Mus musculus: one gene and its partners. The protein of the gene in region 2 interacts with the protein of the main gene of each other region in a pairwise test. Links are inferred from orthologs where the notes say so. Each region holds a gene or a part of one and is shown on either strand. Other genes may lie near its edges.

Region 1 (3,294 bases), on a different chromosome or scaffold from region 2:
TTTCTTCTATCAACAATGTCTGTTAGAAGTGGGGTTCTTTTTACGTTTGTTCATCTCATATTTCACACCAAAGCTAGAGATCATGAACGTGAAGCATCTATTTGCAGACTGGTCAGGGAGTTCAATGGTAGGGCATATATCTACCGCGAGTGAGTTTTTGGGTTTCTCACTAAGTACTGAAAAGTTAGATAAGTATAAACTAAAAGTGTTGGGCTAATGCCCATGCATTACCTATAGCTCCTGTAATATGTTTCCATTTCATTTACCTAACATTGCTCAGTATATATATGCCTATTCTTACAAATTTTATGCCATAATAAAAACCAGAAATTATGAATCTTATTTCATAACTCATATCCATTTAGATTTACACAGAAGCAAACAATTTGGAATCTTTTTAAGCATCTATTTTTTTCAAATCTACTAAAATTAACTAGACATGGTTGATCCAGTCTATGATTCTGGCACCTGGATGACTGAGACAAGAGATTGCTGAGAGGTCAGTGCCAAGCTGAGTCACCTAATGACATCTAGACCAGCCTTGATCCCAAATAAAAGAATAAATCTACCAAACCCAATGAAGTCACAGTGGCGAGACAATAATTATTTCAAGGATCATTTATTTATCTTTTTTTTTTTACAAAATACAAGAACTTGTTCTGCATGAATATAGAGCATATGAAAAATAATGCACTTTCAGAGTCTAATTGTCAGACATTCAGTTTCTCAACTATTCTCTTGAAGAATTAGCTTTGTTTGGCACTTGGTTTTATATCATAAACAAGGAGGAAGAAAGCTTTTCCCTGTTAATTGAATCAGACCCATAAACATTAACAACTTAAAGATGTAAAATCAGACATTTGCCGCACAAGACTCGTTCTGCAAGGTAACTGATTTGCCTATGATCCTAATGTCTTTCAAGATATAAGAGAAGAAGGCTGGAGGGGAGCTAGGTATGTTCTCTAATGTATCTGCAGCAGTTGATAGTCAATGCAACAGAAGATTTGCTTTGTCTGTGGTACAAGGATATGTCCTATCAGACTCTACTGCATTTTATCTACTTGAACACAAGTAAGCACATACTGATTTTCTCTGTCTGACACAAATGTATAAAAATACAAGAAGCTGGCTGTGTTTGTCAATGGAAAAGCCTATTTTTAATCAGCTAATATGAATGCATTTGCTAAAATTAGTGAAGACAGGAAAAATGACTTAGGGGTAATATATACAGAGTTTCAGTACATTTTATATCCACTTGGTGATTTCAGGCACTGTGGCTGTTCAAGATAAACTATTTCATGGATTAACTTGATAGCAGTTTAATTTTCAGTGCAAGCAAAAGCAAATACCTGCCTAGTGTCACACACATGACCTGGCACAACTGGAATGTTCAAAGCATTTTTTATTTTTAACATCTTCACTCTGGAGACATCTTGAGTAAAAACGTCTTATCAAGTTTGCTCTTGGTAGCAAATTTAATTTTCAGTGCAAGCCAAAGCAAACATCCATCTCCCTCTCTGTCATATATAGGAACAAGTGTATTTGGAATACGTTCGCTTTCTCCAATTTCACTGTGGAAGCATCTTCAATAAAAGGCACTTAGTGTAAACCGTCTATCCATCATGAGACACAGACTCGAGATGCCTGCATTTAATTATACTAAGCCACACTGCCACAGACATCTGCCATGTAAACGATGTTCGGTAAGGTTTGCCATCACAATGGTGCTTTCCTGAGAATGGAGCTGGTCTTTGTAGGTATCATAAGTGTGCGTGCTCAGAGCTGTGGTCACTATCGCGGCTGTCCTCGTTTGCTAGTGAGTCCCCTGTCTGCTGGAGGGTGGCTGCACCGATTCCTGACAGCTCTGACGGAAGAAGCGTTCCCTTTTTCACATTCACCAGTTCCTTTTCTCGGGCAGCAGCTCCTTGCTGTCCCCCTTTGACCCGCTTCCACTTCATTCTCCTGTTCTGGAACCACACTTTCACCTTCAAAGAGAGGGAATAAGTAAGTCAGCAAAGGCAATAGGACCTAGTTGCTCAAGTGCCTGCGCACATACACCATGATGCAGCAATTAGAAAAAACAGGCAGGATTGCAGTGAGTTAGATTGCATGTGCGTAGTAATGGAAAAGGCTTAGTACATTCAAAGAATTATCGTAAATTCCAACACATAACACAAAGTTACAAATAGGCGAGGAAGTTTGCTCGGAAGCATTGGAGTGGAGTTTCTCATCGATCAAATAAAATATTATGTTTACCTCTATCAAAGTTTACACATTCTCTGAAATTCATCTTTGACTTGACAGTAGAATTTTTACAGGTTTATCTGCTGGTAAATCCACCTCTGAAAGCGCACTATTTACTACGAAAGTCCCTTAACTTGGAAAGGCATGAATTATCTCTCAGCACATCCTTTCAGATCGGCGGGGGGCATGGGGGGCATAATTCACCTCAGTAAAGGACCAGATGCTCCTGATTTATATGGAATGGTGTCCCAATAAAACTATCGTGAAGAAGAGTCTCCAGCCCACCACGGCTAAACTGGGGACTGTCTGCAGGACCTAGCACAGTTGGTTTCCTGATACTCTACAGGAAGTCTGTCTTTACTGGTCTTCTTTCTGCTCTTGCCTTTATTAACGTTTACTTCAGAAATATCATTGAACTGTTGCCAAAGAATGCAGCCACAGTAAAAATTCCTCAGTATTTACCTTGCATCCCCCGCCCCTGCCCGGGTGAATACCCAGAAACTTCCTCAAAGGACTCAAGAGAATGTGACAATCCACCTCAGTAAAAAAAAATTCATGAATTCATATTGATTAACTTATTTCACAAGATCTAGATTTGTCAGCACTTTTTTTTTAATACTAGGACTACTTACTATGTCCTTATTTTGAGATTTTTAAAAAACCTCAGCTAACATAAAAGCATCGCCATGTTTATGATCACTTGGCTTCTTTTGTTTGGTATTTTTCCTTCCTGGTTTGCATTCAATTCTTTACACTATTTCTTTTTAAATTTTATACATTTTTTGCAAGCTACTCTCACCCACTTTCTAAAATAGTCTACTCATATCCCACAGCCATCATTCCCCTGGGTTATAATTCATGCTGTTAAGCCTTCAACAAACTCCTATACCTGTGACAAAAATTTTTTTTCATATCTGATAGAAAAATGCCTAACTCTTCTGTATCACAGACATTTGAACATTTATCAGTCTCAATTTATACCAACACACAGTGCTCCAGAGAAACGGTGAGAAGAGTGTTCTCCTTCCAGAGATGTTTGAATATTACACT
Region 2 (4,758 bases):
CAGAAATAAAGCCCACAACCAAAACATAGACTTATCTGTGGGTAGCACTTGTTTCCTTCCCCAAGGCCAAGCACAACCAAAGGGAAAAGCCACATTGAGTTTGGAGACCTAAAACCAACCACCTGTGCCATGGCAGCCCAGCTCCTATCCCAGTAGGAAGAATCAACAAGGTAAAAATAAACATGTTTATTATTGTGTCCATGAAAGCAAAGCCAGGGTGGTCTTTGTTAATACCCCCTGAAAAGGTGACAACAAACAGGCATGCATGACAACTACCACTGCCACCACCAAGTTTTCCTCTAATGAAGTGAGGTCCTCCCACCAGACCCCGGTACCCTAAGGGTCAGAGGCAATAGGGCTAGGAGGCTCCAGAGGAAGGTACAGGTAGGCCTACTGGGCTGTAGAAGGCCAACATTTGCTGCTTCCTTGGCAGGATGAGGTGGGAGACAAGCATTGCCTTAGGCTAGACCTTGCACCCAACTAGAACACACAAAAAAGCCCCTACCCTCCCCACCCCCAGCAAACACCGATAAGGCAATCAGCCAAAACTCCTGGTAAGAGCTGCTCTAAAACCAATACCCTTAGGGATCCATCCAGAAGGGGTTGCCTTCTTCAGCTTGTATGGAATAGTAAACAAAGAGCAGAAAGGCAGCAAAGACCAGGAAGAGTAACAGCTGGCCCCAGAGTGGGACCTGTCGATCCTGGCCCAGAGCAGCAGCAGGGGCCTGCTTCTCTGGCCGAATGGCACGTCGGGTAAGCCATGAAGAGGGAGAAGATGAAGAGGAGGACACAGAAGAGGTGGAGGATGTAGGATAATATGATAAGCCCAGAGAGCTCCTGGAGACATTGGAAATGGGGCGGTAGTGTGCGATGCTCTGGTAGGCACTGTCTTGGCCATAGATGAGGCGCTCCCTGTGGCAAAAGAAGGCAACAGGTAGGCAGGAGAGTCTGAGACTCGAATTTGTCCCTGTCCCTACATATGTTCACTACTCACCTATCCTTGCCTTCCTCTTCTAAAGAAGAGAAAATGTCATCACGCACCTGCAGAATAATTAGGATTAGAAATGGGGAAGAATGGTTTTCCTTAAATGTCTCTGGCTAGCCTGCTCTAATCATATCATAGGGACCAGAAAATTGCCCCCCCCTCCCCCATTCTGAGTATGTGGAGCCTCTTTATCTGTGGGGCCTTGCTGCTCAGTTACTAACCCTGTTGACTTTGTTCCAGCATCCTTTTATTCCCCTGGATTCTCAGGAGGCTTAAATCTATATCGTAGATTAATTACTAGAGTGCAGGAGCTGTTACATATTCTCTGATCAAAAAAGTTTGTGGGCTGAAGAGGTGGTTCACTGGTTAAGAGCACATATTATTCTTCCTAGGTACCTGAGGTCAATTTCCAGCACACACATCAGGCAGTTTACAACTACCTGTAGCTCTAGCTCTAGTGGGAATATGACAATTCTCACCTCTGTAGGTGCCAGCACTCATGCATACTACCCACAGACATGTATGTGAGAATTCTGGAATTTTGGCTTTTTTAAGAAACACAGAAATATTGTAAGAATATGTTTTTGTTTTAATCTTAGGTGTGGAATATGGGGCTGCTTCACAGCAGCTAACTATGAGTTGCCTCATGCTTTTAGCAAAGGTGTGTTTCTGTGAGTTTCAGATAGTTTCTACAATTGTGTGATATTTGGAATTCTGGGAATTTTTCATTACTGGGGGTGAAGTGGGGGGGGGGAAATACCCACAAACTAACAAAAATTGGCCACACATATGTATAATTAAAGTAATTAAATCTTTTAAAAAAGCCAAAACCCCAAAACATTTGTTATGTGCTGCTGGAGATGAAACCATAGGTAAATACTCTTCTGCTGAGCATCCCCAAATCCAATAGTTTTGAAGGTTCCAACATAGAATTTTTAACCCGACAGCTGTATGCTGACCCTAACCAGATTTGAAAGCCTAAGATCCACTCTCTGCACCTATCCAAACCTAGAATTCCCTAAGGCTGCACCCCAGGTATACCTACCAGCCAACTCACCTGGTGATGGAAGGTATCAGCATCTACAAGTGAGGTCCCCGGCTGGCGGAAGCTCTTGGACATGCCCACAGACTCAGGCTCCCCGTATGTCTTGGTGGTCAAATAACTCTCCTCATAGTAGTCATCATTATAGTCTTGGGGAGGAAAACAGTGGTAGAGGAAAAAGTGGTGCCCCTTAACTGGCCTCCTCTTCTCCCTCCCCAGCCTGTGTGTGCTGTGTCAGTTTCTCCCCTCTGAAGCCACTGAGAACTGGTACAAGGAGGTGAGGGAGGTCTGGGGTTTCCCTGTGCCCAAATCCCGGAAGCATGGGATAAAAACATCAGTGCCCACCCTATACCTGCCTTACCCTTGCTCTGGTAAAGTAAGGCGTCTTCTTTTTTGGGCAGATCATACATGTCTGAGTCCACGGCGGCTGAATCCAAGTCTGCATGTGAAGGAGGAGGGACAGGACCATTCGATCTCCAGCCTTCCCCCTACTCCCTCAATAGCTTCGGCCACACCCTCCCTCCCTAAGACGTGTGCCCCAAGCTGCTCTTTGGGGCTCTGCAGTTAAGGGCTCACCTGAGAACTGATAGGAGAATGAAGAAGATGACGAGTTGGGGGGTAAGAGTCTCCTTCTCTGGGTCTCGTACTCGAAGATTTTCTTTTCGTAGAGCTTGCGAGTGGAACCTGCCCAGACACAGGGTGCGAAGCGGTCAGAGGGCGTGAGCCGAGCACCCCAAGAGCACAAGGGAACACGGGGAGGGGACTTGAGGGGAGGGAGAGGTGGGGAGAACGCTCAGGGAGGAGCGCGGGAAAGCAGTGGACCAAGAGAGGTTCTGAGCGCCACCGGGTGCAGCATACCCACAATAGGCCCATGAGGGATGTTGTACTGGCGTAGCACTGCGGCCAGCTCAGTATCGGACAAAACCGCATAGTCGTCCATGGCAGACAAGGCCGGCACCTGGAAGCGGTGTTGAACGCCAGGGGCGGCCGGGGCCTACAGACAGGGCCCAAGAAACCAACCGCTCGGAGCCTAGAAGAAGAAGCGCCAGAGCCTCAAGAGCGGCTGTGGGCGCGTCACGCCGCCGTCACATTTGCGTCACAGCCGCGGCTACGCAGGTTGCGCGCGCTCCTCAGGGCAGGCCCAAACTAGCCAGAACGGCCGGTGCAGACCGGTCTAGCTGAGGGAACAGGCTGGGCTGGCAAACAGAAACGTAACGCTTGTGAGAGATTGGCTCGAACAGGGAGAAGGCGGAGCTTTCAGAACTCGTGCGGCAGCGGTTGAGACTTCCTTTGAGAGCTAGGCCGCCGAGGGGCGGAGCTGGCTGACCTCACTAGAGGATGCTTTAGAGCGCAACTTACTAGGGATGAGGCAAGTGATTTGACCAAAACCGGCTTGTGAGATTTCCCAACCTGTGAGATCTCACATACTTTTGTTACTGGCTTCATTCCTGATTTTATTCCCCCGGTGTTCCAGTGCCTAGGATTCTCAGCCACAGTGTGATCCACAGCAGTGTAAAGCAATCCTGAGAGCGAACCCTTCCAGAGCGCCTAACGCTGCTGAGAGCTCTTTGTATGCTGTCAGACAGGGCTCTCATCACCTAACATAGACACCCACAGAGCCCTGGCACTCCCTACCCATCTCCTTTGGTCTTCCCAGTCTCCATGACCCTGGCCTGCACACCTGCACAGGCCCATTCCCACCGTCGTCTTCTCTAATGCCTAGTTCCATTCGCGAGGAAATGGGGCCAGCACTGGGCCAAGTGGCCACCAGCACTACAGGATCAAGCAGCTTTCCAAAGGTCCAGGGTATGCCAATGCACACAATCAGAGGGCGCCTGCCTGCCTGCCTGCCTGCCTGCCCTGTGATGCATGTAGATCTGTACACCTTGTACCTGCCATACTCACTGTTCTACCTTGGGCCCTGAGGAATTCTGGGGGGAGAGGTCTTCTCTGGCTGAGTAGAATAGTCTCTAAGCTTGGTGTGACCTTAGAGACCTAGACAAGTGTACAAAGCCTAGAGCACTATTTCTCAACCTCCTTAATGCTGCAATCCTTTAATACAGTTCCTCATGTTGTGGTGACTCCCCACCCATAAAATTATTGTGTTGTACTTCATAAATGTAATTTCAATATTGCTATAAATTAAAATATAAATATTTGTTATGCAGGATATCTGATATGTGAGATCCAAAGGGATAGCGACCCCAGAGGTTCTGAACTGCTGGCCTAGAGGCAAACCATGGGAATTGATGGAGGCTTACTAAGGATCTGGATCAGAGAAAGGTTGCCTTGAAGAGTGACCATGACCATTATATTCTACACAAAGTCATGTGGATCTAGGTAGGCTGCCCTTTATTGGAGAGATCTAGAAGAAGGGGTACGCGTAGAAAAAGTGTGTAGGATGCCTGATCTCTTAAATCAGTGCTTCTCAACCTTCCTAATGCTGTTGTGGTGATTCCCAATCACAAAATATTTTTGTTGCTACTTTATAATGGTAATTTTTGCTACTTTATGAGTCATAATGTAAATATTTTTGGAGACAAGGTTTGCCAGAGGGGTTGTAACCCACAGGTTGTCTTAAGTGATAGTGATAGTGAGTACTTTGCTCAGTTCTAGGTTGACCTGATGACACTTTAGTGAAGTTCACAGGCCACTTCTCTATGGAAGTTTAAAGTAGGCAATGGTGAGGAGGTGGACCCCAGTTTTGACCACATACAAAGTGCTTAATGAA
Region 3 (4,620 bases), on a different chromosome or scaffold from region 2:
TCGGGCTCAACAACAGGGACTTCCACTCACCAAGGCTGACCTGGCTACGGCTGCCGCTGAATGCCAGATCTGCCAATAGCAGAAACTAACACTGAGCCCCAGATTCTTTGAGGTGATCAGCCAGAAACCTGGTGTCAGGTTTACTACATTGGACTACTTCCTCCGTAGAAAGGAGATCTCTGAGTTCAAGGTCATGTGGGACAAAGCAAGTCCCAGATCCAGGAATGGCGGCACACACCTTTAACCTGGGCCACATCTTCTAAGGAGACCTACATAATGACATTGGAAGAAGGAAGACCCTCCTTCACCTGCTTGTCTTGTGGGACTGAGCAACTGCTAGACCCTTGCACTTCCATTCACAGGTGCTCCTGACCACTGTTGGGAGTTAAGACTACAGTCGGTAAACCATCAACAAATTCCATTACTATACAGAGACTACCCATAAGTTCTGTGACTCTACAGAACCCTGACTAACACAGGAGCATTGGGATCATATCTGATAGAGTAACTGAGATTCATGGGTGGAGGAGAATCATGCCTGTGCTAAAGTAACTGAGCGGCATGTATGGCTTCAAAAGAAGTTGAAACTTACTTAATGAAAAACTAAAAAGCATATAAAAATAAATTATTTTTTATTTTCAAATATAAGCCTCAAATTGGACCTCTAATCCAATTCCTGCTAATTCAGCCTTCCACCACAGTGAACAAACACCACAGACCACTACCCTAGTGGAGGGCAAGTCCACTCTTTCAGTCAGAAACTGTTAGCTGTCCACTGAGAAAGAGGCAGGCAATCAGAAATCAAACAAAACACAACAGGCACCTCCAGTGGTCTTCACCCTGGATAGGACGAGTAAGGTTCTCAGGCTGGCACTTACAGGATTTGTTCAAAGTAGGTAAAAGACACCAACAAAAGGCCTTTACCAGACTCTTGGTGTGTGGAATAGAGAAAACATCTGCCTAGATGGTCACACTCTTCAGGAAGCAGATCAGAATGGCGCAGGGCTGGTAGGTATTTCTTCCATCACCAGGAGTCCCTTATTGACTACGGTTTTTCCTTGCTCTCTGCAGGTAGAGGGGCTCCAAAGATCTTGGCAAGGAGCCCTCTGTTGGATCGGGCCTGGTCCTCGACATTAGCCAGCCGTGCTCTTTCCCGCCCTCCTGGCCGTGCAGCTTTCCGGGCCCTAAACTCCTGCTCAGTGGGACGCTGGGTGAATGTCCAGGAGCTATTTGGCCGAGTAGCATCCCCATCAGCTGCAAGGAAGTGTTGTCCCTGTTCTACGTTTCGAAGATAGAAGTCAGTCTCTCTCTTTGCTTGGGCGACCTCTGCTCTCAGGCGTTGCCTTCGTACTTGGCGCTCAAAGGCAAGGTGTTCACTGAGGTGGGACCAAGTAAAACGATGCAAATACTGTGAGAAGGAAAAGAAGAAAAGGTCACGGTAGGGAAGGTCGGGAGAAGAAACTGGGAGCTGCTCAGAGCTAGCAGGAAGGATGGGGTGCCTGGACTAGAGCTGGAGGGGGGAATGAAGATGTGGCAGACAAACTGAGAACCTCACCTTGAGGTTCCACAGGTCATAACGGAAGGGGCTGCGCTTGCGGGCGCCCATGGGCGTGTTATGTAGACTGGCTGCCACTCGCTTGGCTACACGCTTGTCTCGGAACTCCACCCAGCCTTCGGTATAGTCCTTGCTGTACTTAGCTCCCTTCTTTCCTCCTGCGGCCGCGGCTGCCTTCTTCTTGCGTTTCACAAAGTGGTCTGTAGGCCAAACACAATGAACATCCCATCAAGCACCCACTGAGACACACCTCAGTTTAGCCGTAAGCCACACCTGCTGGTTTAGGCGCTACTTTACAGGGATTGATGAAACACGGCTGTCTGTAAGGGGCAGCTCCTCCTTTCCTTAATTCATGCCTCCCTTCAAATGACAACTTCTTGAACATTAGAACAGCACCAAGAACAACACCAGTCCCCACCTCCATTTCCAAGTTGTGCATGTCAAGAGGTGGAAGAGAGCCAGGCATGGTAGTGCACGCCTTTAATCCCAGCACTTGGGAGGCAGCAGCAGGCGGATCTCTGAGTTCGAGGCCAGCCTGGTCTACAGAGTGAGTTCCAGGACAGCCAGAGCTACAAAGAAACCCTGTCTCGAAAAACAAACAAACAAACAAACAAACAAAGGTGAAGAGGCTGAAGGAGGCTAATCATACAGTTTCAGGGACTATTTGAAAATTGAGAGGGCTGGAGAGATGGCTCAGTGGTTAAGAGTACTGACTGCTCTTTCAGAGGTCCTGAGTTCAATTCCCAACAACCACATGGTGGCTCACAACCATCTGTAATGGGATCTGATGCCCTCTTCTGGTGTGTCTGAAGACAGCTACAAAAAGTAGTAAGTAAATAAAATTTTAAGAAATAGAAAGAAGAGAAGATCGTGGGTCTCTTTCAGGCCTTATTAAACCACTCTCTCTATCCACTCACCCTCTCCATTTCCCTTCCCCGCCCCTGCCTGCCACCTAAAGGACGTGAGTACTACACACTTAGCAGCTAGGAAGGGGCCACAGCCTTCCAAGAGCCAGCACCCCACGCCTCATTCGTGTACAGCCAAGAAAATGAGTCGCGCCCGGCTGCCCGCATCGTCACCTCTCCTTTCGACGCAGGGCTTACCCTCGGCCTGGAAGAAAACGCGTCCCACCTCGCCGTAGGCGCTGAGCAGGTTGCGTACGTGAAGGGGCCGGAATCGCGGCGGGACGTGGCCCAGGTACACAATCCCCGGAACTACCTTCTTCTTCTTCTTGCTGCTGCTGCTGCAGGCCGTGTCCTCGGGCTCCTCCTGATCCTCCGCCGCCTCTGCATTCGCCTCTTCCTCCATCGCAGCCTTTTGCTGCTCCACCAACTCTCCCGCTTTCACCATGGCAAGATCTGGGGAGCACGACAGCCGTGAATCTGTCGCCATCTGATGACGCACATCCTGCGAGCCAATCTGCGGTCGGGGCCAAGAAATGACGTAAATCCTGGGTGCGGAGGGGCGGGGCAGAGACAGACTGGGCGGGGCGGGAGGGGCGAGGCCAACAGACTGGACTGAGGAGAAGGGTTGGGAGCCGCAGGACCTGGGTCCCGGTAAAATACTTCCGTCGCGCGCAGCCCTCATCTGAGGCAAGCTCTCACGGAATATTTTTATTTTTTTTACAAATGTGCATGAATGATTTTTGCCTCCATGCATCAAGAGCGTACCCTGGTGCCTCTCGTGGGATTTTTACAGAACAGAGTGTTGAAAGAGTGTGTTGTAGAGACCAAAACAGCATTTTCTTCCAGGTCTGTGGTGCGAATGTGGTTGAAAGGTTAACACACATTTTAAAAAGTTTTATGAAGTTCAACTTGTAAACTTCAGTCTGAGCCTTGAAGTTTTAATTATTTGAAGTTTCAACATATTATTTGAATTTTTATTTTATTATTTGAATTATATGAAGTTTTAACATTTTAAAATTAAAGTTTTTGAAGCAGCTTATAAATTTGCACGCATTCTTTTGGGATTTTAATTGGAGTTGCGGTTTTAAAATTTTAAACGCGCCTTTAGTAATTTTACATTTCACCTTGTGAATACTTAAATCTGTAACTGTTTGAGTAAAAAGCTGAGTACTATTGTGTTCGAATCTGTGCAAGTTGATGAGCGAAAGGTCCGGGTTGCAGGTCTCAGCCTCGGACCAGCCGCCAGGGGGCGCGGTCCGCACATCAGCAGGCCGCCTCGCTTTTGGGACCTACACGCCAGGGCCAACGCAGAGGCGGGCCACAGCAGCTGATGACGCTCGAGCGATGATGCCTCTGCTAGAAATGATGTACTAACCTCCCCTCCTGCTTAACGGACGGACGGAGAGCAGGATGATCCTGAGGACTCAAGTTGTCCCTCGTCAAGGCCCTACATAATATTTTATCCTTCATCATCACGATGACATATAGAAGACAGGGCAACTGTGTCCACAGACTCTGGGCGTTATTTGTAAAGCTGAGGTGCTTCTGAGGACCTAATAACTAAACCTGACTTTGGGGACTTGCATTGAAGAGAACTTGCTGTTGGTTACCTCTGCTCCTTTTATGAAAAGTGAATATGGAGAGAAAAGACCCCTACTTTTAACTTTTAACTGACTACTTCACCAACAATGATGACACTTGAGAGCGTCTTATAGTTACTTCAAAACATTGAGAACTGGGGGAGGGGCACATGTAAAGAAGACACAAGAGTGTGGTGGCTAAGTGGCTTTCTGTACTTTGCACGTGCTTGAAATTATTGTTAATGAAATATTTGTACACATTAAATGCCAAATAAATGCCAAGTAAACTGGAAGTCGGGGCAATCCTGTAATCCTCAGCTCTTGGGAGATGGAGAAGAAAGGAAGTTCCAGACCAACCTGGGCTACAAGAGACCCTTTTAAATTTTAATTTATATATTAAAATTATGTATATATATGAGCATAGAGAGGATCGTGAAGAATCATTGAGTCGTCAATGAGTGAACATGCGAAATAGTCGTGCCAGGTATCTTTTCATCGTTACGCCTTCCCATGATCCAGTCTCGATTTCGTAAAATCTAAGTGCTCCCACCTTAAGTGTACCTGAAGTTTATTTTTACCT
Region 4 (4,590 bases), on a different chromosome or scaffold from region 2:
GACTGCCATGACCTAGGGAAACCTGCTCTAATTCCTTCATCAGCACTCCCAACTTTCCTCTTTGTCATCTACTGTGTATCTAGTGCTGGGCTCTGACTCTCAGCTGCTGATCAAGTCAGTCTGTTAGTTGAGGACCTTAAAAATGCTTGATGGTTCATTTCAGAGAATCTGGTTCAGGGACTCAGAGGGGGAGATTCTATTCTCTTAGGATCACCTCCCTGCCAGACTCAGTCTGGTCCCCAAATCTTCCATCTATCAAGCATGTGGGGTGCCTTCAACAGGAATCCTAAAAATCATAAGAAACAAGACAAGAGAAACCTATATAGTGGGAAGTCCTCAAGGAACAGTTTTCAGGACAGGTCACCCTTGATGCCCCTCTAGGTGGCCTTGCCTGGCATCCATATAGTGCCCCAAACCCTCATCTTCACCCATCAGCTATGGATTTGGCTAGACTTATTTTGGGCTCTGGTAGCCTGGTGGAACCAGGGCTGGACTCAGATGAACTACACCCCGCCATCAGAGATTGTACCCTGCCTCCTATACCCTCTGGGGTCAGACTGTGGTGATGGAGGAAGGTCCTCGTCACAGCCGCTGCCTCTTCTCTATGACCTGATTATCCCACTGCCCAGGAATTCAGTTCCTCCATGGTTTTGCAAACACTGACCCCTCATGTTTATAGGCTGCACAGACTCTGCAGGAAGAGAGGTCCCTGTGTTTCTTTGTTGGGACTTTGATGCCTATCCTAGCACAAGACCGAGTCCTGTGCAGGCTTCCTATTCTCCCTCTGGTCACAGTACTCATTCACATGGCTGTTGCTGGGCAATCTCACTCTCTGGAGGGCTCTTGTGTGACTAAGTCCTGTATACTTTTAATTATCTGACTCTAGAGGACTGGAGGGACACTCTCTGCCTTGGGCAGAGCTTTCCCCAAGGACTGAGGTGTTGTTTGCCTTTCTCTCAGGCTTCTTCCCACTCTCCCTCTGTGGGGCTCCCTAGATCTGCCACATGTCACCCTGTTTATTGAATTATGTAGAAAATGAGCCAAAAAGCCTACTTGTGTTTTGTCATAAATGAATATATAGAGGAGACTTGGAATTACATACATGTGCATCTTCAAGCCACAGCACCCGATTATTCTGTCTTCACTGAAGGAGGGGAACCCTTGCTTTGGGGCCAGACTGTGACTCACTTCTAGGTTGTCAATACCCACCAAACAGGTATGTGTGTGTGTGTGGGGGGGGGGGGGTTGCTAAGCCTCAGTGTTCTTATTTATAAGATGGGGCTAAAACTTCCCTTGAAGGGGCATGAACCTTAAAAGACAACACCCAACACCCACACCATATACCTACCACATGGCATATGATAAGCGACAGCCTTTTAAAAATAATAGATATAAAAATATTGTAGTTATCATGGCTGGCGCTGAATACTGAAAACTTGGTGCTGTGAATCAAATGCCCCAGGGAACGCCAGACTGTAGGACAGAGAATGATCAATTTTGCCCTCTGACTCCCCTACTCCCACTCTCAGTTCTGAACAGGGCTTGTAGCTCCATCTTGGAATAATTTTACTGTGGTTCCTGTAGTCTCTGAGTTTGGGTTACAAGGACAAAACACTTCTGTGTGGTCTGGATGTAATCATCAACTCAATTAGGTCAGACAGGAAGTCAAAGAACAGGTAGGTGAAGAAAGGAGATGCCATTATAAGTGTGAGGGCTTAGGCTCCCCACTGTGGGACTTACCAGAGGGAGCTCCCAGGTTCCCTACCTTCCAGACGGGAAGAAGAAAGGTCTGAGGGGTTGAGAACAGGTCTGTGAGGATGTCTCTTCCTGTTCTCCATCTATTGTCTGTAGGGCCACTGAAATATGGCTATTTTACTCTCTGCATCATTAGGTCTTAATGCTTAGGAAGTTGCAATAGGAATGGCTCCCTAGAGAGAGGAGTGTCTCCAAACCCATAGCCTTCTACACCTCCTGGGGTGTGGCGTGACACCTGTATGGAACCACACAGCCTTCTAGGATGGTGGGATCATCCTGGCTTGCTTTAACGCAAGTAGGCTATGGAAAGTCTGATGGACAGGGACAGGCTATAGAAAAAAAGGAACTGGTCCTGTAGTTCAGAAAAAGGTCACAAGGCCACTGCCCAGGATTTCTGTAGTTTCTGAGGTACCCCTGGCCAACATGAAAGGGCCTAGTTAGAGCTCGGAGGAAGGGCTAGTACTGGCTAGGGAAGGCTCTCCTTCCTGCACAGGAAGACAGCAGCACACTGCCCCTCAACTACAGACATGTTGACTTGCCACAGTTTTGCACCTACCTCCTGGCTGTGTATGCAGAGGAGATGATGGGTGGCTTCCTACACGAATCTGGCCTTCTTAGTTCAGAGTTCTCAGCGGGAGCTGAAGAGCCTGTTACAGGGATCCCTACATTGAAGGGATTGGGAAAAGTCATTTAATTTGTGTTATGGATGCAGAGCACACCAACACCAAGCCATGCAACTCACACCTAACCGAAGCCATCAGACGGAGCAGAGCTGGGAGCCATACCCTGTGGTTGCCTGAGGTCTCTAGCACAGGATGTTTTTTTGTCATACAAGCCCCATCGAGTACATTCTACCACCTGCTGCTACGCAGGAGGCTGGCATGGCAGAGCGTATTCTGCCCCACCCTAAGTCAGCAGATCCAAACCAAGATCCCAAAGCATCTTCCTCCACAGTTACCTCAAGTCCCAGGTTCTGTCTCAAGTGTCTCAGGAGAGCCTTCAGCCCTTTCTTTCTAGGTCTCTCTGGTCTCAGAAGGCTGGGGAAGCTGTCAAGCCGAGTTTCTGAAGAAGTTTCTAAACCCCCTCACCATTTTCTTCTTATACTGACGTTATTTTCGCACAGCAGCATGCTGAAACAGGAAACACAAGCCACAGTGTTCACAAACCTCAGTTCCTCTCCTTGCCCTTAGCAATTTGAGAGGGCCCCTGCACTCTTGGGGCCTCCAGGGCTGGTGAGGAAGTCCACCCAGGCACCCACTCTCCAACTACCTGATTGGTCTGCTCTCTGGCAGTTTCAGCCCAGTATTCACTTCCTCTGGTTGGTGCTGTAGCTCGGTAGGTAGAGTGCTTACTTGCCTAGCAAGCACAAAGCCCTAGACTCCACCCCCAGCATTAAAAGCCAGACCTGAAACCCCGGCATTCAGGAAGTAGAGGCAGGAGGACCAGGAGGTCAAGATCATCCATATTGAGTTCAAGGCTAGCCTGAGCTACATGAAACCCTGTTTAAAAAAAAATGTTTTTCTAGGACTACACAGGGATGAATTCTGGGCCATATCTATACCTTGCCACTTCTGTGGTAAGACCCAGGAGGGATGTTTCTCATACCATCTAGCTGTTTGGAGTCTCTTTTTCCCAATACTGGCATTGGGTAGAGTCTCCTGTGGTCTGAAGGATCTGTGTGTTTTGTGGAGTTCCAGATCCTTGAGGGCATCCTGGATTCATGTCTTTATGAGGCAGTGTGGAGGGGTGAAATATGGAGGGCTAGAGGGCAGAAGGCAGGTAGCCAAAAGAATCTGAAAAATCCCAGTGAATTGAACTAAGAAATTTTGGGAAAAATTAAAGAGAACTGATACATTAAAAAGAAACTTACAAATGGGAAATCCCAGAGCAACTCAGGATAGATAAACAGGAAACTGAGTTTGTACAAGTTCAAGGACTGCTCTGCAACCTTCTGAACAAGCCACTCAGTATGGAGACTATACAGTTCGAAATGTGTGAGGCAGGTGTGAGACAGGTGTGAGGCAGGTGTGAGACAGGTATGAAGCAGGTGTGAGGCAGATAATGATATATTCAAGTAGCTAGGATAAGTTTTGTTAACATGGAGAACTTATCACAGTCCTCTTCATGACTGCTATTTCCTCATTCTCTTAAGAGAAAAAGTCAAGAAGTAGGCAGGAAGGAAGCACGCAGGCCAGATTCTTATACTAGAACCCAGACCAAGGAGGCTCCTAGGGTGAGAAATACCCGAGAACACAGGGAGACAGGAGATTGTATCAGAATTGCCATAGATCCTTTTGGACTTTATTAAAAACTATATAGAAATGTATACAGAGATCAAATTCTTATCTATGGCTGGGTACTCTTTGGGTGCTATACTCATGCTACTGGGACTAATGTTAATGCAAGTTCAAAGTCACATAGCATGGGTTCATGAGTACATGGGTACATGAGTGCATGAGTGCATGGGTGCATGAATACATGAGTGCATTACCAGCCCAAGTAATTTATTCTAGAATAAAGCTCCAGGTACTTTTATTAGTCTACTAGTGGTATCTATCTATCTATCTATCTATCTATCTATCTATCTATCTATATGCTGTGGTTTGGATCCCCCAAAGTTCCACATCTCAGAGCCTAGCTCCCCACCTCAGCACTGCTGGAAGGTGCTAGAATCTTGGGAATGGGCTTATTGGGAGGCAGTTAGACTGTTGGTAGTGTGTCCTCAGAGGGGAGAGTCCATCTAGGCTCTTCTCTCCACTTTTTACTTTCTAGTCATGAGGTGAGCTTTTGCCCTATCACGAAGTTCTGCTCTGCTGTTCACCTCATCACAGGCCT
Region 5 (4,046 bases), on a different chromosome or scaffold from region 2:
CCCCCAAAACAGAAGCCTCAAGATTCAAGTCTTGCAAGTCTTTAATCCCAGCAGTAGTGAGGCAGAGGCAGGGTGATCTCTGTGAGTTCAAGGCTAGCCCTAGTTTACATAGTAAGTTCCAGGAAAGCCAGAGTTATAGAGAGAGACCCTGTCTCAAAGAAACAATAACAAAACAAATACAAACAAACAAACAACCCTCTGAAACCAAACCAACCAACAAACAAAAAAAGAATGCCAAGAGAGCTACAGTCTGGGTTCTGTAAAGCCACGTTTTAGCCATACACCTCTGAGGTGTGAGTTCCTGCACTCAGCACCCCAGTATAGGGCTGGGATACAGCTGGGACAGATGTCTGCTCTCAAGGGAAGGGAAGCAGGTGTACGAGGTGTGTGTGGTGGGGCAGGATGGGGAGCCAAGACTGCCCTGTGCCAAGTGAAGATTTCATAGTGTGGGTGCCCCAGGCCTCAGCTAGATACCGTGGAGGCTGCAGTCCCCTCAGGCTCTACATTAGGGCTGGAGATGGGAGGAAGGGTTGGAAAACCTGAGCCTGAAGTCCAGAGTGGGACTGTCCCAAAGGCACCAGAAAGCCACCACAGCTGCAGGCTGAGCAAAGGCCCCAGATCTCTTTAGCCCTTGCTGTGTGGAGCGAGTAGATGAGAAGTCCCTGCTAACCCCCGCTGACCCCTGCCACCCAGCGCCTTCTATAAATAGTCTCACCAGATGGCAGGTGTGGAGAAGCCAGGGCTCCCTCGTAGGCGGTCTCCTCTGCCCGCTCTAATCCCCTGTATCAAAGGCAAGAGGCTCAGGTCCCCTGTGGTCACCACAGCCATGACCTGTGCCTACAGAGGTGTGGGGTGATGGAGGAGAGGAGGGCTGTAGGGAGAGAGGCTCTATGGGTAAGGGTGAAGCCAGATGGCAGGGCCTGGGCTGTGAAGGGCAGCCCTTCCTATGGTCGCCCTGCTCCTTCTACTTGGACCCCTGCACCATCACCCAAGGCAGCTGGTTCTCAGACCCCTTCACCCCTCCGTGTCCTTTTAGATGCCTCTCCTTAGTCCCAAGCCAACCACACGGGGTTCCTGGGCCTAACTAGTATTGACTGCAGAGCAGACGTGAGGAAAGTCTTCCTAGGTAGGAGGCTGCTGGTGTAGGGACTCACCCCTGCAGCTGACAGGCAGCAATCCAGTCCCGCATGACCACCAGAAAGGTGTCCAGTTCCACAGTGGCTCCAGCACCCTCTCCATAAGGGTCCAAGCTCCGGGCCAGTGTTTGGAGGCGCACATCCTGAGGTCCCTGTCCTGTCACAGCCTCCAGGTAGGCCAGGAGGTGGGCCACAGTCACAGTGCCTGGGACAGAGCATGGTAGGGAGACCTGGACTGGGCAATGGCCAGTGGGACAGGCCACGGTTTAAGAACAGTGTCTGTCATCAGCAGGTTGATGACACGCCTGCCCTACAGCATGCAGAGCCACCTGGGGCAAGTCCCTCTCCTGAGTTAAGTTTTCCAGTCCATCTCAGAGTGGACCAAAGAGCATGAGCCAGGGCAGCAGCCACTGCTGTAACCAGGCCAGAGGCTAACTATGTACCTGGGGCCCAAGCCCCGCTACTCATCCCCTGATCCATGCCCTTACCCTACTCCTGAAGGACCCCTAAGCAGGGCAGCCCGGGTCCAGCCCTTCCTGTGGATCCCCAGCCCCCACCTGTCTTGTGAGGGTCACAGGCTTCAAATGTGGAGTTAAGGATCTGTTCCTCTAGGCTGAGCAGTGGCCTTGAACTCGCTTCCTCGGGCTGTTCCCAGAGGTACACTGTAGAGAAAAGGGGGTCCCCTCTCAATGCGGAGACACCAGGAGCATGATCCTAATGCCTGGGCTCTGCTGAGTCTGGGGGACTTTCATTGAAAGCTCTGTGGTGGGGACTGGTAAAGGACAGCGGGAGGCTTCCAGGGAGGTGGCAACAGGGAGGATTTTGAGTCACTGCTCTCAAGCAGTCCCATCTCTTAGGCTAGGAGATGCCCCTACTGTCTGCCTAAGGCTTGGTTAGCCAATGGACTCTGGAAGCCATTAATGAGCTCTGAGATGACCCTCAGCCCTGCCCTCCTCCAGTCTCCCGGGCTATGGGCAGGGGGGACCAGGCTTGAGGAAAGCAAGGGGGAGGCAGGATGAAGGTGGCCGAGGAGCCAGGAACAATCCAATAAGGCGTGGGCAGCCTCCATCGATCCCACCCGCTGCAGCCCTTCTCCCAGTTGCCCCAGGGACCAAGTCTCTCCTCTCCACATCCTCAGCATGGCGTCATCAGAGCTGGAGGACTCAGGGCCAACACCAAGATAAAGAGGAGGGATGGGGCTGTGGAAGCAGGGGGTGGCAGGGGACTGGTTAGGAGCTGAGTTTCCTGCCAGACTCCCCTGACTCAGCAGCTCTGCAGCATGTCTGTGGCAAGCCTCTTCTTTGGGAGGTCTGTTTCTGTGTCAGTAAAACCCCCCTCAGGAGGGTGAGAGGGTTGTTCCTTCTGCATATGTAAAGATGTGAGTGCAGGCATGTGTGTGTGGGTGTGAGTGTCGGAGTGAGTGTGTGATGTTTGGGTGTGTATGTGCAATATGTGTATGCATGTGTGTCAATGTATGTGCACATGTGTCTATGCAAATGTGGAGTGTTTATGTGTTTACATGTGTGTGTTCATATGTGTGTGTGGCCTGTGTGTATTGGTAGGGCAGCTCTCACCTGGCTCAGACCCACTGTGTGCCTGCCTATGTTCCTGTTTTCCAGGGTCTGTTGGCCTGCAGCTAGCTATATTCACATCACATGAATACAGCAGGCACTCAATAAACAGAGCTTCTCCAAGCTGGAGGTGGCTTTCATACCTCTGACAGCCTGGCCTGCTGAGATGAGTGCCCATTGCACATGGCTGCAGGGTTAGAGTCTGAGCTGGCACTAGAGACCCCTGTCCTGCCCCCCACCCCCTCTGAGTGTCAGCAGTATCCTCTGAGAAAGCCCCCCTCCCTTTTGGGGAAGAAATGGATGCATGTGGGTGGGCCTCTGCGTGGTCTGTAACTACAGGCACTCATGGAGCGTCAGCACCGCAGCAGCTCCTATCCCTACACGAGGAGTCTGAGGCAGACGGGCAGCACAAGCGGTCACAGGCACCTTCCAGCACAGAGTCTCTTCTCTCACCCTGACACTTCCAGGATGCTGTACCCCAGTTTGACCTGGACTCTTCTGGCTCCCATGGGAGGGCAGTAGGGCAGGTTAGTTTGGGGAGGTAGAAGACTTCAGCTGGCCTACTGCTCTCCACCGTCCCGTGTTACAGAGGAGGACTCTGTGCTGTGGCCCAGAAAGGCCAATGGTGCATAGTCCCTTCCTGAGGTCCTGAAGGAAGACACTGTTCCGTCCCCCCCCCCCTTTCTCTCTCTCCTTTTTTTTTTTTTTTTTGGGGGGGGGGATTTTCAAGACAGGGTTTCTCCGTGTAGTCCTGGCATCCTGGCTGTCCTGGAACTCACCCCGTAGACCAGGCTGGCCTTGAATTTAGAGATTCACCTGCCTCTGCCTCTATGTGCTGTGGTTAAAGGCGTGCATGACCACCACCCTGCTCTTTCTGGACCATTGTTCTCATTTTTCCCCAACCTCTCTCACATGTTCAGCCTCTGTCCTGTGTCCTTCAGTCCCTTTTCTCCCCCCACCCTGTACTCTATCTTAATCTTGATACTCTGTCCCAAGCGCCTTCTCTCTTCTTTGCCATCCCTGTCTTTCAGCCTCGGCTTTCCCCTGTGGGTGTGTTCTTCCTTTTCAGTCTGCAATCTCAGAAGCTGACCTGGCCATGGTCCTAATTCCTGGTGGCTGCTCGCCCTCTGCTGGTGCAGGCAAGGTTTAGATGCCAGTCATCTCCCAAGCTAGCCAGCCTTATTAGCATGCTGGTGTCTTGCCTGTAAACCCCTCCTATTTGCAGAGGCTACCCCTGAGGTTGGGGTGCAGATCTCAGCCTTGAGCAAAGCTGCAGGCGTACTTGTCGACTCCCAGGAGCCTAAAAGACAGGTGTTCCTGCATTAGTCGGAACTGCCTA

Evidence for each region.
Region 1: the proteins of Emd (region 2) and Meox2 interact in binary tests that used the Homo sapiens proteins (3 or more experiments, as listed by UniProt). The two-hybrid records come from large-scale screens. The link is inferred for Mus musculus from reciprocal best matches to the Homo sapiens genes EMD and MEOX2.
Region 3: the proteins of Emd (region 2) and Abt1 interact in binary tests that used the Homo sapiens proteins (3 or more experiments, as listed by UniProt). The two-hybrid records come from large-scale screens. The link is inferred for Mus musculus from reciprocal best matches to the Homo sapiens genes EMD and ABT1.
Region 4: the proteins of Emd (region 2) and Traf3ip3 interact in binary tests that used the Homo sapiens proteins (3 or more experiments, as listed by UniProt). The two-hybrid records come from large-scale screens. The link is inferred for Mus musculus from reciprocal best matches to the Homo sapiens genes EMD and TRAF3IP3.
Region 5: the proteins of Emd (region 2) and Kash5 interact in binary tests that used the Homo sapiens proteins (3 or more experiments, as listed by UniProt). The two-hybrid records come from large-scale screens. The link is inferred for Mus musculus from reciprocal best matches to the Homo sapiens genes EMD and KASH5.

What each region holds. Positions count from the first base shown.
Region 1 is NC_000078.6:37,176,844-37,180,137, reverse strand, and holds the end of Meox2 (homeobox protein MOX-2), read right to left. Parts: intron 1,986-3,294; coding exon 1,761-1,985; 3' UTR 604-1,760; downstream 1-603. UniProt on the Homo sapiens protein: Mesodermal transcription factor that plays a key role in somitogenesis and somitogenesis and limb muscle differentiation. Required during limb development for normal appendicular muscle formation and for the normal regulation of myogenic genes.
Region 2 is NC_000086.7:74,253,161-74,257,918, reverse strand, and holds Emd (emerin), read right to left. Parts: upstream 3,233-4,758; 5' UTR 2,968-3,232; coding exon 2,886-2,967; intron 2,712-2,885; coding exon 2,604-2,711; intron 2,467-2,603; coding exon 2,389-2,466; intron 2,177-2,388; coding exon 2,043-2,176; intron 1,042-2,042; coding exon 995-1,041; intron 913-994; coding exon 582-912; 3' UTR 26-581; downstream 1-25. UniProt on the Homo sapiens protein: Stabilizes and promotes the formation of a nuclear actin cortical network. Stimulates actin polymerization in vitro by binding and stabilizing the pointed end of growing filaments. Inhibits beta-catenin activity by preventing its accumulation in the nucleus.
Region 3 is NC_000079.6:23,420,928-23,425,547, forward strand, and holds the start of Abt1 (activator of basal transcription 1), read right to left. Parts: upstream 2,940-4,620; 5' UTR 2,906-2,939; coding exon 2,659-2,905; intron 1,756-2,658; coding exon 1,556-1,755; intron 1,409-1,555; coding exon 1,046-1,408; 3' UTR 1-1,045.
Region 4 is NC_000067.6:193,198,582-193,203,171, forward strand, and holds the start of Traf3ip3 (TRAF3-interacting JNK-activating modulator), read right to left. Parts: upstream 2,966-4,590; 5' UTR 2,714-2,965; intron 2,418-2,713; 5' UTR 2,312-2,417; intron 1-2,311. UniProt on the Homo sapiens protein: Adapter protein that plays essential roles in both innate and adaptive immunity. Plays a crucial role in the regulation of thymocyte development.
Region 5 is NC_000073.6:45,194,814-45,198,859, forward strand, and holds part of Kash5 (protein KASH5), read right to left. Parts: intron 1,799-4,046; coding exon 1,694-1,798; intron 1,342-1,693; coding exon 1,155-1,341; intron 781-1,154; coding exon 716-780; intron 1-715. UniProt on the Homo sapiens protein: As a component of the LINC (LInker of Nucleoskeleton and Cytoskeleton) complex, involved in the connection between the nuclear lamina and the cytoskeleton.